4 linked regions of the Macaca mulatta genome follow. The protein of the gene in region 1 binds, or shares a complex with, the protein of each later gene. Links are inferred from orthologs where the notes say so. Each region holds a gene or a part of one and is shown on either strand. Other genes may lie near its edges.

Region 1 (3,440 bases):
AAAACAGGTTGCGTGCGGTGGCTCACACATGTAATCCCAGAATTTTGCAAGGCCAAGGTGGGCAAATCACTTGAGGCCAGGAGTTCAAGACCAGCCTGGCCAACATGGCAAAACCCCATCTCTACTAAAAATACAAAAAAATTAGTGGGTATGATGGTGCACACCTGTAATCCCAGCTCCTCGGGAGGCTGAGGCACAAGAAACGCTTGAACCCAGGAGGCAGGGGTTGCACTGAGCTGAGATTGCGCCACTGCACTCCAGCCTGAGTGACAGAGCAAGACTCTGTCTCAATTAAAAAAAAAGAAGAAGAAGTTAAAACAAGTTTTAGAGTTAAGAAACATTACACTTTCAATGTTTTTTGTTTTTTGTTTTTAATTTGAGGTACTAGGAGCACACAAAGGGTTGATGTCCAGAGGGCTTTTGAAAATATAAGATTAAGGTTCACAGCTGGGTGTGTTGGCTCACAACTGTAATCCTAGAACTTTGGTAGGCTGAGACGGGCGGATCACCTGAGGTCAGGAGTTCGAGACCAGCCTGGCCAACATGGTGAAATCCCATCTCTACTAAAAATACAGAAATTAGCCAGTTGTGGTAGCATGGAACTGTAATCCCAGCTACTTGAGAGGCTGAGGCAGGAGAATCTCTTGAACCTGGGAGGTGGAGGTTGCAGTGAGCTGAGATCGCAACCATTGCACTCCAGCCTGGGTGACAAACTCCAAAAAATAAAAAATGGGGGGGGAGGGAGGGAGGGAGGGAAGGAAGGAAGGAAGGAAGGAGGGAGGGAGGGAGGGAGGGAGGGAGGGAAGGAAGGGAGGAAAGAAAAGAAAGAATATATAAGGCAAAAGTTCAATGAAGACAGAAAATGTAATTGTGTGGATTGGGGAATAGAGGGGATGATTAAGTCCCTGAGGCTGAGTGGGATTCCCAGAAGAGAAAGTAGAAAGACAGACATCATATATAGATTTAGAGAACATACTTAAACTTCAGAAGGAGTAAGAAGACACAGGAAAAATATGGGACTTTGTGAAGAAGTAAAATTCTATGATTTATAATTTACATAGGACAGACAATTGCTGACAGAAATTGTAGTGAAAGCATGCCATATAAACCCTTTTTTGTTTTAAGAAATATCTACTTGCAGAATTAGGTTTCTGAACTAGCCTTAATATTAGTGGAAACTAAAGACATTGGAGCCTACCTTCTGTCTGCTCAGATGTTGACATGTTAGCCAATAGGAACTTCTAAGGCATATTCCACCTCTAATGAAGATGTTGTATTTTGTAGGAAAAACTCAACACTGTTCTTTTATGATGCTGCATCGCTGTCCTGGAAATCACAGTTGGGACAGCACCATTTCTGCGTCTCAAAGGGCTGCATTCTGTGATCACAAGACCACTCCATGCTCTTCAGCAACAATAAATCCACTCTCAACTGCAGGAAACTCAGGTAAATATTTACTGTGAAACACCTTGTAAGTGATGCCATTTAGCTTACATATTTATGTTCAGTGGGTTTACCATACAGTGAGATTTATTTGTCTTTATTTCCTCAATATGATAAATATATACCTTCTTAAGTAGGAAAACAAATCCCAGGAGATGGGAACGATGACATGGCCCACATGGTGTTCTGTGAACATCTAAATAGGGAGGCAGTACTAAGAGGAGGTATTAACATATTACTAATTAACAAATTTGCAGGTATCTTTTATATTTGAAACAAAATGGACATTAAACAAAACTGAACAAATCCTAGAAGATGGGAATGACGACATAAAGTGGTTTTTGCCCCAAGATTTATACCATATAAAAAGGCAGTGCCTTTTCTGGGGAGTGAGGGGGAGATAGCCCAAATCTCTGAGTGTTTCCTGAAAAATGATAGCATTCCCCCAAATACTGGTGTTCAATATTGGCACAATCATAGGAAAATTAGGTTTTATGCTTTATTGATTTTTCATGGAATTTTACTTATTGCTATGTATCTGTCCTCACCTTTTAAATATTCATTCCTTGCTCTTTTTCAGAACGTCTGCAGCCTGGTATCGCCCAGCAGTGGATCCAGAGCAAAAGGGAAGACATTGTGAACCAAATGACAGAAGCCTGCCTTAACCAGTCGCTAGATGCCCTTCTGTCCAGGGACTTAATCATGAAAGAGGACTATGAACTTATTAGTACCAAGCCTACAAGGACCTCAAAAGTCAGACAATTACTAGACACTACTGACATCCAAGGAGAAGAATTTGCCAAAGTTATAGTTCAAAAGTTGAAAGATAATAAACAAATGGGTCTTCAGCCTTACCCGGAAATACTTGTGGTTTCTAGATCACCATCTTTAAATTTACTTCAAAATAAAAGCGTGTAAGTGACTGTTTTTCAAGAAGAAAAGTCGTTTTATAAAAGGATATTTATATCTCTGTTGCTTTGACTTTTTTTTTAATATAAAATCCGTGAGTATTAAAAGCTTTATTGAAAGTTCTTCTTTGGGTAAATATTAGTCTCCCTCCATGACACTGCAGTATTTTTTATTAATTAATACAAGTAAAAAGTTTGAATTTTGCTACATAGTTCAATTTTTTATGTCTCTTGTTAACAGAAACCACTTTTAAAGGGTAATAATTATTATTCTTTTTCATAACAGTGCCTTAAGGTATGATGTATTTCTGATAGAAGCCATTTTCACATTCATGTTCTTCGTGGATTATTTGTTACTCGTCTAAGATGCAATTTGATTTTATGAAGTATATACCGTTTTACCCACCAGAAACAGTACAGAATCTCTGCCCTAAAATCCCAGGCTTAATTGCTCTACAAAGGCTTATTAATTTAAAACTCCATTAATAGGATTACATTTTAAAGTTTTATTTATAAATTCCCTTTAAAAAAGATATTTCAAAGGTAAAATAATACAATATAAAGAAAAAATAAATATATTAATACCGGCTGTCTGTCTCCATTTTTAACCTCAGCCTTCCCTACTGTCACCAACAACCAAGCTAAATAAAGTTAACAGCCTGATGTTTATCCTTCTGTCCCTTTCTTCCTGCTTATATTTAGAACATATGCTCATTTGGGAAAGGATCTTTTCTGCATATTATTATTATAATAATACATCATACTGCAACCTGCTTTTTGCATTTAATAGTACAGCCTTCCAGATCAGATATGGCTCTAACTTACTCTTTTTACTTGCTGCCTAATACCCACACTGTTTTTATTTTCTTAACTTGTCCGTATCAAATTTAGCCCAAACAATAAAAGTACAGTGTGAGCACTTTTTTGGTTAATGGGTTATATTACTATATGAGAACTTACAAGGAATAATAGCCGTTATCTGAAACCGCATAGCAAAGTCAGCAGAAAGTGAGATACAGAGTAAATTTGAAAATATGAACTTTCAAGAAGCAACAGACCCAAACCTGAAAAAAGTTTGAATAAAAGAAA
Region 2 (4,102 bases), on another chromosome or scaffold:
TCTTAAACTCTCTGGTAATTCTGTTTTTTCCTCCTTCTCAAAAAGCTCACACTCTGCTAATGTGTATATATTGTTCACTTGAGTGCTTCTAAATAAATATTTACTTTTCAAAAGAGTGAAATCTGAACTATTAGCATGGAAACAACCTCTGGGAAGACAAGATCTCCACTCAAAAGCTTCAAATTGAGATTCTCCTGCTCATGTTGAATGATGGTTTTATCTAATATTTTCTGAAATAGGGTGACTACTTGAACTACACAAAATTGTGAAATGAGAATATCTTTGATTTTATACTTTGTTTTTTCTTTTTTTGAGATGAAGTCTTACTCTGTCACCTAGGCTGGAGTGCAGTGGCACAATCTCGGCTCATTGCAACCTCTGCCTCCCAGGTTCAGGTGATTCTCGTCCCTTGGCCTCCCGAGTAGCTGGGATTACAGGCGTGTGCCACCATGCCTGGCTAATTTTTGCATTTTTTGGTAGAGATGGGGTTTCACCATGTTGGCCAGGCTGGTCTTGAACTCCTGACCTCAAGTGATCCACCCACCTTAGCCTCCCAAAGTGTTGGGATTACAGGCATGAGCCACTGTGCCTGACCACTTACATCTATTTTGATTGACTTGAAATAAAATTTAACACCCCAGGGAAGGCAATTCTCATGTGTTTTGAATTATACTGAGCATTAATTCTTCAGGATAATTATAGACTTGGAAATGTTTAATCCAGTCTCCTAGTCCATGCTGAAGCTCCTTTAAGTGATAGGAGGAACTCATAATCTACAAGGCAACCCAATCCATTTGTTGCTATATCAATTGTTATAAAGCTCATCCTTGGGTTAAAATTGGCTGTTTATAGTTGTATTTAATGACCTTAATTCTGCCCTCAAGCTATACAAAATGTGGATCTCTTTTCTACATGATAACCTTTTAGATATCAGTCTATCCTCCCTACCCTTCCCCTCACAATTTTTCCACCCTTTGCGATAAATATCCTTTGCTATTCTAACTATTTCTCATATGATATCATTTTTATCATCCCAATTGCTCCCTAAGGACATTAAACTTTGTTAATGTCCTTTCCAAAATGTATTTGGAACTGGAAATAATATCCCTTGGTAGCTGAATTGGATCTGGATGTTGCACATCTGGACACTAATGCAGCCTGAAGTTGCTGTAAGTTTTTTAGTCAACTTGTAATGTTGGCTCATGATGAATTTGTAATTAATTAAAATTCCAAGGTTTAATCTGGAGGATTGCCTTTATGTGATTTTTTCTTAAACCAAGTCTCCATTTTCTTTTAGTTATGCAACAGATTTTTTTTTTTTTTTTTTTTTTTGAGACGCTCGCTCTGTCACCCAGGCTGGGGTGCAGTGGCACGATCTCAGCTCACTGCAACCTCCACCTCCTGGGTTCAAGCAATTCTCCTGCCTCAGCCTCCCGAGTAGCTGCGATTACAGGAGTCTGCCACCACGCCTGGCTAATTTTCTTTGTTTCTTTTTTTTTTTTTTTAAAGTAGAGATGGGGTTTCTCCATGTTGGTCAGGCTGGTCTTGAACTTCTGACCTCAGGTGACCCACCCTCCTTGGCCTCACAAAGTCCCGGGATTATAGGCATGAGCCATTGCACCCGGCCCTTTTTTTTTTCTTTCTTTCTTTTTTTGAGATGGAGCCTCACTCTGTTGCCCAGGATGGAGTGCAGTGACATGATCTTGGCTCACTGCAACCTCCGCTGCCCGGGTTCAAGGGATTCTTCTGTCTCAGCCTCCCGAGTAGCTGGGATTACAGGTACCTGCCACCACGCCTGGCTAATTTTTGTATTTTTAGTAGAGATAGGGGTTTCACCATGTTGGCCAGGCTGGTCTCAAACTCCTGACCTCAAGTTATCCGGCTGCCTTGGCCTCCCAAAGTGCTGAGATTATAGGCATGAGTCACTGCACCCGGCCTATGCACCAGATATTTTTAAAAAACCAGATGTAAGACTTTACACTTACCCCTATTAAATGTTATCTCATTAGCCTATCAGGTAGCTTTGGTTTTTTACTTTTATTTTATTTATTTATTTATTTTTTTGAGACAAGAGTTTCGCTCTTGTTGCCCAGGCTGGAATGCAATGGTGCGATCTCCGCTCACTGCAACCTCCGCCTCCTGGGTTCAAGTGATTCTCCTGCCTCAGCCTCCCAAGTAGCTGGGATTACAGGCATGTGCCACCACGCCTGGCTAATTTTGTGTTTTTTAGTAGAGACGGTTTCACCATGTTGGTCTAGCTGGTCTCGAACTCCCGACCTCAGGTGATTTGCCCACCTTGGCTTCCCAAAGTGCTGGGATTACAGGCGTGAGCCACTATGACCGACTGGTTTTTTTCTTAAGACTAGTCAAGTGCAGAGTGAGAAGAGGGAAAAGAGTAGAACAAGGGGTTTGATCAGCCTTGGTTTCTTTGAATCTTGATTTTTGTCATTCGGTTTATTATGCTGATTCAACAGAGGGCCCTGAAGCTAATGTTGGAATGTTTTCAGACATCTAGGAAATGATAATTCATCAAAAGTCATGGAGACTATTCCAAAAGTTTTATGCAGATATAACTCAGCTGTTGAGGTATGAGTTAATACCACTATAAGTTGACATGGCCAGGAAAGACAAGTCCATTGCCAACTTGCTTTGTGTTGAACATTACTCCAAAAGAGATTAAATTCTAAGACATATTGTGTCAACATAAAGGCAAAAGAGCTGGCTAATTCTTCTCAAGAAATCAATGGCTCGACCTTTTGGCTCATGCCTGTAATCCCAGCATTTTGGGAGGCCGAGGTGGGGGATCACCTGAGGTCGGGAGTTCAAGACCAACCTGACCAACCTGGAGAAACCCCGTCTCTGCTAAAAAATACAAAATTAGCTGGGCATGGTGGTGCATGTCTGTAATCCCAGCTACTTGAGAGGTTGAGGCAGGAGAATCGCTTGAACCCAGGAGGCAGAGGTTGCAGTGAGCCAAGATCACGCCATTGCACTCCAGCCGGGGCAACAAGAGCAAAACTCCATCTCAAAAAAAAAAAAAAAATCAATTAATGCACATATAATATAGAGACAGAGTTCTTGTTACCATTATTTTGCCTTTGACAAGTTTATATTGAGCACATTATCAGGCAATGTGGGAGATTCTGGAGAACCAGGTTTGCCTCATAGCTAGGGTTACCATATGCTCTAGTTTGCCTGGGGCAACCCTGATTTATGCCTGTTGTCCCAGTGTGATTATTGCTAGTGTGATTTTTCACTTTGAGAAGTGTCCAGGTTTGGAAGATAAATTATCTTGCTATCCTTCTCATAACCTAATGGGTTCTCTTTAGTATTTTATCTGGGTTAAAATTACACAGCTGTAATTTGGCAGCTCTAATAAGACTGCAACAATACTTATCTTCCATTTGAACAGATTGTTACTTGACCAAGGGGAAGTTTTGTTTTTTTTTTTTTTTTTTTGAGGCGGAGTCTCGCTCTGCCGCCCAGGATGGAGTGCAGTGTTGCGATCTCGGCTCACTGCAAGCTCGGCCTCCTGGGTTCACGCCATTCTCCTGCCTCAGCCTCCCCAGCAGCTGGGACTACAGGCGCCCACAACCATGCCCGGCTAATTTTTTGTATTTTTAGGTGAGACGGGGTTTCACCCTGTTAGCCAGGATGGTCTCAATCTCCTGACCTCGTGATCCGCCCGCCTCGGCCTCCCAAAGTGCTGGGATTACAGGCATGAGCCACTGCGCCTGGCTACCAAGGGCAGTTAATAGCAAAAGTAACTGCAGGGCACATGTATGTCATGGGCAAAAAAAAAAAAAAAAAAAGCAATTAAGGTTTGCAGGTACTTAGAGTTTCTCCTGAGCCACTCTCTAGAGGGCAGTATTACATATATATCTGTAATTATCCAGTTACAACAAAAAAGGGGATCTGGTTCATGCATGAAAATCAGAAATATTTCATACTCTTAAAGAACACATTGGAACCAATATTATGATTAAAACATATTTTGCTAAGCAAAGAAATATTAAAATTAATTCATTAACATTCTGAACATTTTTTAATTTGTAAAAACTGAACTTTGATGCCTTGAATATATAATGATTCATTATAACAA
Region 3 (3,963 bases), on another chromosome or scaffold:
TCGGGCCTGAAAGTCTGCAGGGCTCTGTTTCCTCATCTGCGAAGTGGGAATAGCGAAATTCACCTTGCTAGGACCTTATAAGGATTAAATAACTCAAGAGAAAGTACCAGGGCAAGGCACGTAGTAGGAACTCAGCACATTCGATTTTTCCCGCCTCCCCACGCGGTCCTCCAGGGAAGAAGCGAGGCGCTTGAGCCCGACTGGGCTGGTACAGTGGGGTGGGGGCCCGTCCCCCCACGGAGCTGCCTCCCCATCCACCATCCACCCCAGCCCAGCCCGGCCGCTCACGCACGCCCATTTGCTGCCCTCGCTCCATCCCTATTAGGCGCATTAGCCAGCCCAGCGGCTCTGGTTACAGACGTCTGAATGACAAAGTGCCTCCATTACCGGCGCGGCCCGCCAGCAGACCCGCCGGGACGCGCTCTGGTTTCAGCCCTCTCTCTCGCGCCGCGTCCCAGGAAGAAACTCGTACCGCGCACAGCCAGCCCAGACGGAGCAGCCGTCCTCGGAGGCGGAGGCGGGAGCCGCAGGGGCTGCAGACGGCAGGTCCACCTTCCCCAGCGCCCAGGCCCTCCATGCCCAGCTCCCCTCCTTCTGGGTCTTCGCGCCTGGACCCTCGCTCCTGCCCAGACCCGGATCCCACGTAGTCGCCCCTCTGGGGTCGGGACTAGAGACCACCCCGGTCCCTCCTACCCCCCCTTCTGGTCCACGCTCGCCCACTCGCGTCCAGGCAGCGTCTCTAACCAGCGGGGTTAGTCAGCAGATGTGCCCGCGGTCGCTCCCAAATCCCCGGACTCAGCCACAAGTCCTGACAGTTCCAGGGAACCCGGGCTGAGCTTTCGGACTGGGGCCCGCACCCGGACAGGATCTCTGTCCACCTCACCCGCAGGCTCTACCGCCGCCTGACTCTGGGGACAGTGTCAACCCCGCCCCTTCTGGAAAACGCAGCCGTGACCCCGATCTGGGACAGCGGCTACCCCCTGAAAAGATGGGGGAGTACCGAGTTGGGACTCAGGTCGGGGGAGTCTAGCCACGACTCTGGCCCAACTTGCTGTGAGATCTCGGCCAAGTCGTTAAAACTCTCAAAGTCTCAGTCTCCGTATCTGTAAAGCCGAGATTTGGTGCGCAGTGCTCAGATGAAAGACGCTGGCAGGGAGAGTGAAGACGCCTCCTCCATTGCCAGACCTTCCAGGGCATTCGGTTCATGGCCATACAGCAGGCCACCTCTGACAATCTCCTCGGACCGCCCGGAGGACCCGCCGACCTTTGCCGAGTCAGTGGCTCGGGACACCGCGCGGCAGAATCCGAGGCGTCCGCGCGCTCCCGTCTCGTTAGGTGCCCAGCGGCTTGCACCGAGAGCCAGGCGAGGCGCAGACCGGATCCTGACCCTTCGAGGAGCTGGAGCCCACGGAGCGCTGTGGGCGCGGCGCTCGGGTCGCGCAGCTGGGTTGGGGGAGGCGCGCAGCCCCAGACGCTCAGCAGCCGCGGACTGCACTTGTCTCGCCCCGCAGCGCCTCCTGCCGGCCGCCTCCCGCCTGCGCAGCCAGAGCGGCGCGCTTTCGGGACGGGTCCCCGCCTAGCGCGCCCGGGCGCTCTGCACCCCGAGATGTAGCCACCGCCAGCCCGGGTAGGAGCACACCTGGTCCGTCCCTCGCGATCCGCCGCGCTGCTTCAAGCCGTGAGAACACGAGCGTCGGAGGAGCCCGTCGGCCGTGGGGGAACCCCAAGAGCGGGTTCGCCCCGGCGAAGTGGGCACTCCCCTCCCAGCCTTAGATCCCCAGCCGCAATTCCAGGACTGGGCGAGGCCGCGGGCAGGAGCGCCGGGACAGGCGCTGGAAATGTCCAAGCCTCCGCGCTCTTCTTCTCTCACTATCCCTCAGCTGGCAGGCGGGACCCCGACCGCTTTAGGGTCCGCGGCCCGCTCCGTCTGCTTTCCTTTTGCTTCCCATCTCTCTGCCGCCCTCGCTGTCGTTCCTCTTCTGCCCTCCCTAACCCACTTCTCAGCCGCTCTCCAGCTCCCCAACCTCTCCCTCCGACGCCCCTCCCCCCCATTGTCTGGCCGGTCCCCATTGTCCTTGTCAGGTCCCCTCTGTCTCCAGTCCCTCCGACCTCCTCCATTGTTCCATCCCCTCGTCCTGGGCTCCCCGCCCCAACCCAGCTCACCCCTCACATCTCTAGTCCCCGTCCAGTTCCCCCTCCTTCTCTCGCCTTGGTTCCGTCCCACGACTCTCCAGAGACCGAGATGCTGAGGGGAAAGTCCCTTCGGGATCCCGACATTCGAGTGTCCTCTTCCGAAGAACCCAGGCATCCGAGAACCCCATGCCCCCTCCTGAAAGACCCCTCCCAGCTCCTCCACCGCCCCCTGCGGTACCTGAGGACCCGAAACCGCGCTCCGGTCTTGCCCGCATCTCCACCCTGGAGGGTCGCCTCTGCGTTCCGGGAACCCTAGACCCTCCTTCGTGGTCCCGGCATCAGAGACCCTGTCCCACCACCCACCCTCAGCATCTGGGACCCCAGCGCTCTGTTCTGTTTCCTTGGTGGCGCCGCCCGGCTCTCCTCGGAGTTCTGATCCCGGGAAAGGGAGAGGCCCCCCTCCGGCTAGCACTCACCCCCAGAAGCAGCAACAGCAGCAGGCGCGGCCCGTCCATGGCGCGGCCGGTGGCACCTGCCCTCATCGTCCGCCTTCCGCGGCAGCGCTCGGTTTCCAGCTCGGTCCGCTCTGCGGACTGATGGGGCTGCGCTGCGCTGCGCTCCAGCGCCCCCCCGGCCCGCCGGAGCTGGCCGCGGCTCAGCTCGCTCTGACTGCGGGCGGGAGAGGCTGGGTGAAGCCAGTGCTGCGGCCCCGCCTCCGCCCCGCCCAGCCCGCCCACCCCCGGAACCGCGCCCGCCCGCCCCGCTGCCTCGGGGTGGGGAGCGGAGGCAAAGGGAGGGCGTGCGGTTCCCCGCACCCCGCTGCCGCTTCTCCCCGCCTTGTCCCTTAGAGCCTCTCACCCATCCCGCCCTGGTACCCAGTTCCCGGCCCGCACTACTGCGCGTCCGTCCCGGATGCTGTGGGCCCGGGGACCAGGGCGTCCCCACTGCGGTTTCTGTTCCTCTCCGGCTGCGGCCCGCCACAGGGTTCACTCTCTTACCCATCTTCCTCCGTCTCTGGCTTCGCCTTCTCCCTGGAGCCTTGCTCCCTACCTGGCCCCTATCAGTAAGAATGCCCGCTTGCCCTCCCTGCCCTTCATCTACGCCCATCACCCCACCTCCTCCCCTATTCCCACCCCTCCCCTTCCCAGTGCAGGAGATCCCTGGGCAGAGGCCTGGGGGAGGGGAGGGGCGCAGGCGGCCTGACCTCGGCCATCGACATTCAAGGTGGAGTCCATTCCAACATCATTTGATTCTCAAATGAGGGGTTTGAAGGGGTCACAGGTGTGCACACAATGCACAGGAATACACACTCTCAAGCTCACCTGTATGTGTGATTGTGCACTTACGTGTGCCCACACCGTCCTCATGCACTCCTGCCGACCTGACTATCATATACATGCACGTCTCCAGGCCTGCACACGGGCACATATGTGATCCGGACATTCAAATGCACACACCTACGCATTCACACATGCATGTATACTGTCGCGTCTGCATAAGTCCTCACACGTATACAGTCACACAAGCACACACACATTCATGAGCTCACACACACACTGACACCCATAAACAAACAAACAGATGCATCTTCAACAATATAAACTTCACCAGACTGTGAGTGTCTCCATGGGCTTATGAGCTCTGCAGGCAGGGATTATGGTTTCTTCTCTGAATTCCTGGTATACAGTAGGGTTCAAGAAAGTTCTGTAGAAGGGAATAAATAGAAAAGTGGTGAAATGGACTCATATCTGTGTACCCATCCATGTACTAGGACCAAACTCGTCTTGCCCTAGAATCCTTGCCAAGTCCAAATAATATGCCTCCCAACCC
Region 4 (2,480 bases), on another chromosome or scaffold:
CCACTCCCAACCCATCGCCAAGAACTGGAGAGAGACAGGAGGAGTGTCACAGGGGAACTTTATTGAGAGGAAACATGGTCACACCCAGCAGACATGCTTTCCTTCAATGTCGGTCTTGCACTGGCGCGCGCGCGCGCACACACACACACCCATCTCCAGCCCCTGCCACTGTCCAGTTCTCAGCCACAAGGCGGGACATTCCTCAATTCCTACGACCAGAGGCAGCAGGGGCAGGAGTGAGGCAAGAGGGAGGGGAGAAGTAGCCTGGTCCTGGGGTCGGGAGGAAGCGGTGCGGAGAGCAGTGCTGGGGTCATGACCAGTGGTTAGGTGCGCTCAACAGCTGCAAGAAGAGTGGGATCCCCAGCCCCAGGTGGCCTCAGCTCTGCCAGTCCCTCTCCACGGAGCCGTTTGGAGTAAGAACAGCGCCTGGGGGAGAAGGGTGGGGCCTCCCACCCCATATTAGTCCTCTCGGCAGGGTGGGGGACTGAAGGGGGCAGGGCAGGGTGGGGCGGTGGTGGGCAACACTCAGCTCTGGGGCTCCTGGGGAGCCTCGCCCCCCTCTTCCCCGGCGTTGTCGGCCGTCCACAGCGTCAGGTTGTCTCGCAGCAGCTGCATGATGAGGGTGCTGTCTTTGTAGGAGTCCTCGCTGAGGGTGTGCAGATCAGCCATGGCCTCATCGAAAGTGGTCTTGGCCAGCGAGATGGCCTCCTCGGGGCTGTTGGCGATCTCGTAGTGGAAGACGGAAAAGTTCAGGGCCAGGCCCAGGCGGATGGGATTGGTGGGCGGCATCTCCTTCTTGCTGATGTCCATGGCCTCCTGGTAGGCTGACCGGGCTGAGTCGATGATGCGCTTCTTGTCGTCACCAGTGGCCACCTCGGCCAAGTAGCGGTAGTAGTCGCCCTTCATCTTCAGGTAGAAGACCCTGCTCTCCGCGTCCCCAGCCTCCTTGATGAGATGGCTGTCCAGCAGGCCCAGCACGGTGTCGCACACGCCCCGGAGCTCAGTCTCCACCTTCTCCCGGTACTCACGCACCTCGGGGCCCTTCTCCTCCGAGCCCTCCTCGTTGCTTTTCTGCTCAATACTGGACAGGACCCTCCAGGCAGCCCTCTGGCCGCCCACCACATTCTTGTAGGCTACTGAGAGCAGGTTTCGCTCTTCGCAGGAGAGCTCCTCACCTTTCTCCACGGCGCCCTTCATGAAGGCTGCCATGTCCTCATAACGTTCGGCCTGCTCTGCCAGCTTGGCCTTCTGGATCAGACTGGCTCTCTCCATGGCTCTGGGGACACACAGGCGGGCGGCGGGCTAACTGCTGCCTGGGACCAATGCCGGACTCTGTGCCTCTCCTGCTCTTGGCCTGCCTTTTGGCTGGGTGGCCAGGCCCAGAGAAGGGTGGGGAGGAGCAGGGGGCGGGACCAGGGCCCAAGACCTGCCTCCGTCTCCTCTCCTCCCCACACCCTTTCCGGCTCTGCAGTAAAGGTAAAAAGGCTGGGATGTGGGGGTGAGTCATCAGAACAGTCAGCAGAAGAAATCTGGGCGTGGGCCCCACCTGCACAGGCACCTTTCCAGGCTCTAGGCTGCCCCCTCTTGTTCGGGGCTGGCATCATATGGCTGCTCACATCAGGAAACTGCCTGGCTTCTCAAATCAGATCCTCCTTCACAGCGCCCTTACAGAGGCTAAGGGCGGCTTTAGCCCCTGGCTGCTTCTGCCTCGACAGAGCCCATAAAGGTTCAGGAGGATGGGGTTCCCAATCCTGCCAGGTAACTTCTCCCCTTGATTCAGGTGAGGATAACTCATGTTTAGGTAGGGCCATAGAGTTTCCCAAGCACTTTCATATTCACCATCGAATTTAATCCCCACTGTGTCTCTGTGACACACACAGGACCACAGAGATGGGAACACTAAGTCTCAGAGAGGGGTGAGATTTGCTCAAAGTCACATAGCCACCACTTCCCTGAAACTCCTTTCTGCACCCTGCTTCCTTTAGCTTTTCTCCCGTTGAAGTCTCTGACCTATGAGCTCCAGGCTGTGTTTGGAAGTGAGATCCAGGCTCTTTCTCAATCTACCTGAAGATGGTTCCATCCCTCAGGCCTCACTCCCCCTCAGGGTCCCCTCTGAGCTCCCAGAATGCGCAGGTGGCAGCTTTCAGAGTGCCACTTAATGAAGTGTTTAACAAGCAGCCTCTGACGCTCCAGCCCAGCCTTTGTAATTAGTCACCCAGTAGGTTTGTTGTACACATTTCCCATCACTACACAATTTTCCCTTTCAAGTTGGTGGCCTGTTGCCACTTGTTTGAGGATTTACCCTCTGGCCCTCCACACCAGGTCACTTGCCCTCTCCAAGCCACATGCCATCAGGTACCAGTGGGGTTCACAGAGGGTGGGGTCCAGCTCCCCGGCTGTCCCACTTTCCTGCCTGACTCAGACTGCTCTCTGTCTGAGGCTGGGAAGCAGTCCAGTTTGATCCCCCAGGGGGGACGCTA

Evidence for each region. The genes of interacting proteins can lie anywhere in the genome.
Region 2: the proteins of RIPK2 (region 1) and XIAP are in contact, whole or in part, in a cryo-EM structure (PDB 8AZA), measured with the Homo sapiens proteins. The link is inferred for Macaca mulatta from reciprocal best matches to the Homo sapiens genes RIPK2 and XIAP. Residues at the interface, in NP_003812.1 of Homo sapiens: His136, Asn137, Met138, Thr139, Pro141, Ile208, Asp278, Glu279, Arg280, Ser282, Lys285; in NP_001158.2 of Homo sapiens: Lys208, Asn209, Trp210, Glu211, Pro212, Cys213.
Region 3: the proteins of RIPK2 (region 1) and NGFR are in contact, whole or in part, in an NMR structure (PDB 2N83), measured with the Homo sapiens proteins. The link is inferred for Macaca mulatta from reciprocal best matches to the Homo sapiens genes RIPK2 and NGFR. Residues at the interface, in NP_003812.1 of Homo sapiens: Gln437, Ser465, Arg466, Asp467, Leu468, Met470, Glu472, Asp495, Ile496, Gln497, Gly498, Glu499, Glu500, Lys503, Ile523, Leu524, Val526, Ser527, Arg528, Ser529, Pro530, Ser531, Leu532, Asn533, Leu534, Gln536; in NP_002498.1 of Homo sapiens: Gly334, Leu335, Ser338, Leu339, Pro340, Lys343, Val347, Ser354, Ala355, Asp357, Arg360, His361, Gly364, Glu365, Tyr368, Pro370, Ile373, Asp374, Leu398, Asp399, Leu401, Leu402, Arg406, Arg407, Ile408, Gln409, Arg410, Ala411, Asp412, Val414.
Region 4: the proteins of RIPK2 (region 1) and SFN are in contact, whole or in part, in a crystal structure (PDB 7OBS), measured with the Homo sapiens proteins. The link is inferred for Macaca mulatta from reciprocal best matches to the Homo sapiens genes RIPK2 and SFN. Residues at the interface, in NP_003812.1 of Homo sapiens: Leu535, Gln536, Asn537, Lys538, Ser539, Met540; in NP_006133.1 of Homo sapiens: Lys49, Arg56, Arg60, Lys122, Asp126, Arg129, Tyr130, Pro167, Gly171, Leu174, Asn175, Val178, Tyr181, Glu182, Ile219, Leu222, Asp225, Asn226, Leu229, Trp230.

The regions. Positions count from the first base shown.
Region 1 is NC_133413.1:100,250,481-100,253,920, forward strand, and holds the end of RIPK2 (receptor-interacting serine/threonine-protein kinase 2), read left to right. Parts: intron 1-1,284; coding exon 1,285-1,446; intron 1,447-1,568; exon of another isoform or gene 1,569-1,639; intron 1,640-1,991; exon of another isoform or gene 1,992-2,023; coding exon 2,024-2,361; 3' UTR 2,362-2,940; downstream 2,941-3,440.
Region 2 is NC_133426.1:130,313,928-130,318,029, forward strand, and holds the start of XIAP (E3 ubiquitin-protein ligase XIAP), read left to right. Parts: upstream 1-1,302; 5' UTR 1,303-1,514; coding exon 1,515-1,779; intron 1,780-4,102.
Region 3 is NC_133421.1:60,513,321-60,517,283, forward strand, and holds the start of NGFR (tumor necrosis factor receptor superfamily member 16), read right to left. Parts: upstream 2,801-3,963; 5' UTR 2,676-2,800; coding exon 2,610-2,675; intron 1-2,609. UniProt on the Homo sapiens protein: Low affinity receptor which can bind to NGF, BDNF, NTF3, and NTF4. Forms a heterodimeric receptor with SORCS2 that binds the precursor forms of NGF, BDNF and NTF3 with high affinity, and has much lower affinity for mature NGF and BDNF.
Region 4 is NC_133406.1:214,122,291-214,124,770, forward strand, and holds SFN (14-3-3 protein sigma), read right to left. Parts: upstream 1,338-2,480; 5' UTR 1,273-1,337; coding exon 526-1,272; 3' UTR 501-525; downstream 1-500. UniProt on the Homo sapiens protein: Adapter protein implicated in the regulation of a large spectrum of both general and specialized signaling pathways. Binds to a large number of partners, usually by recognition of a phosphoserine or phosphothreonine motif.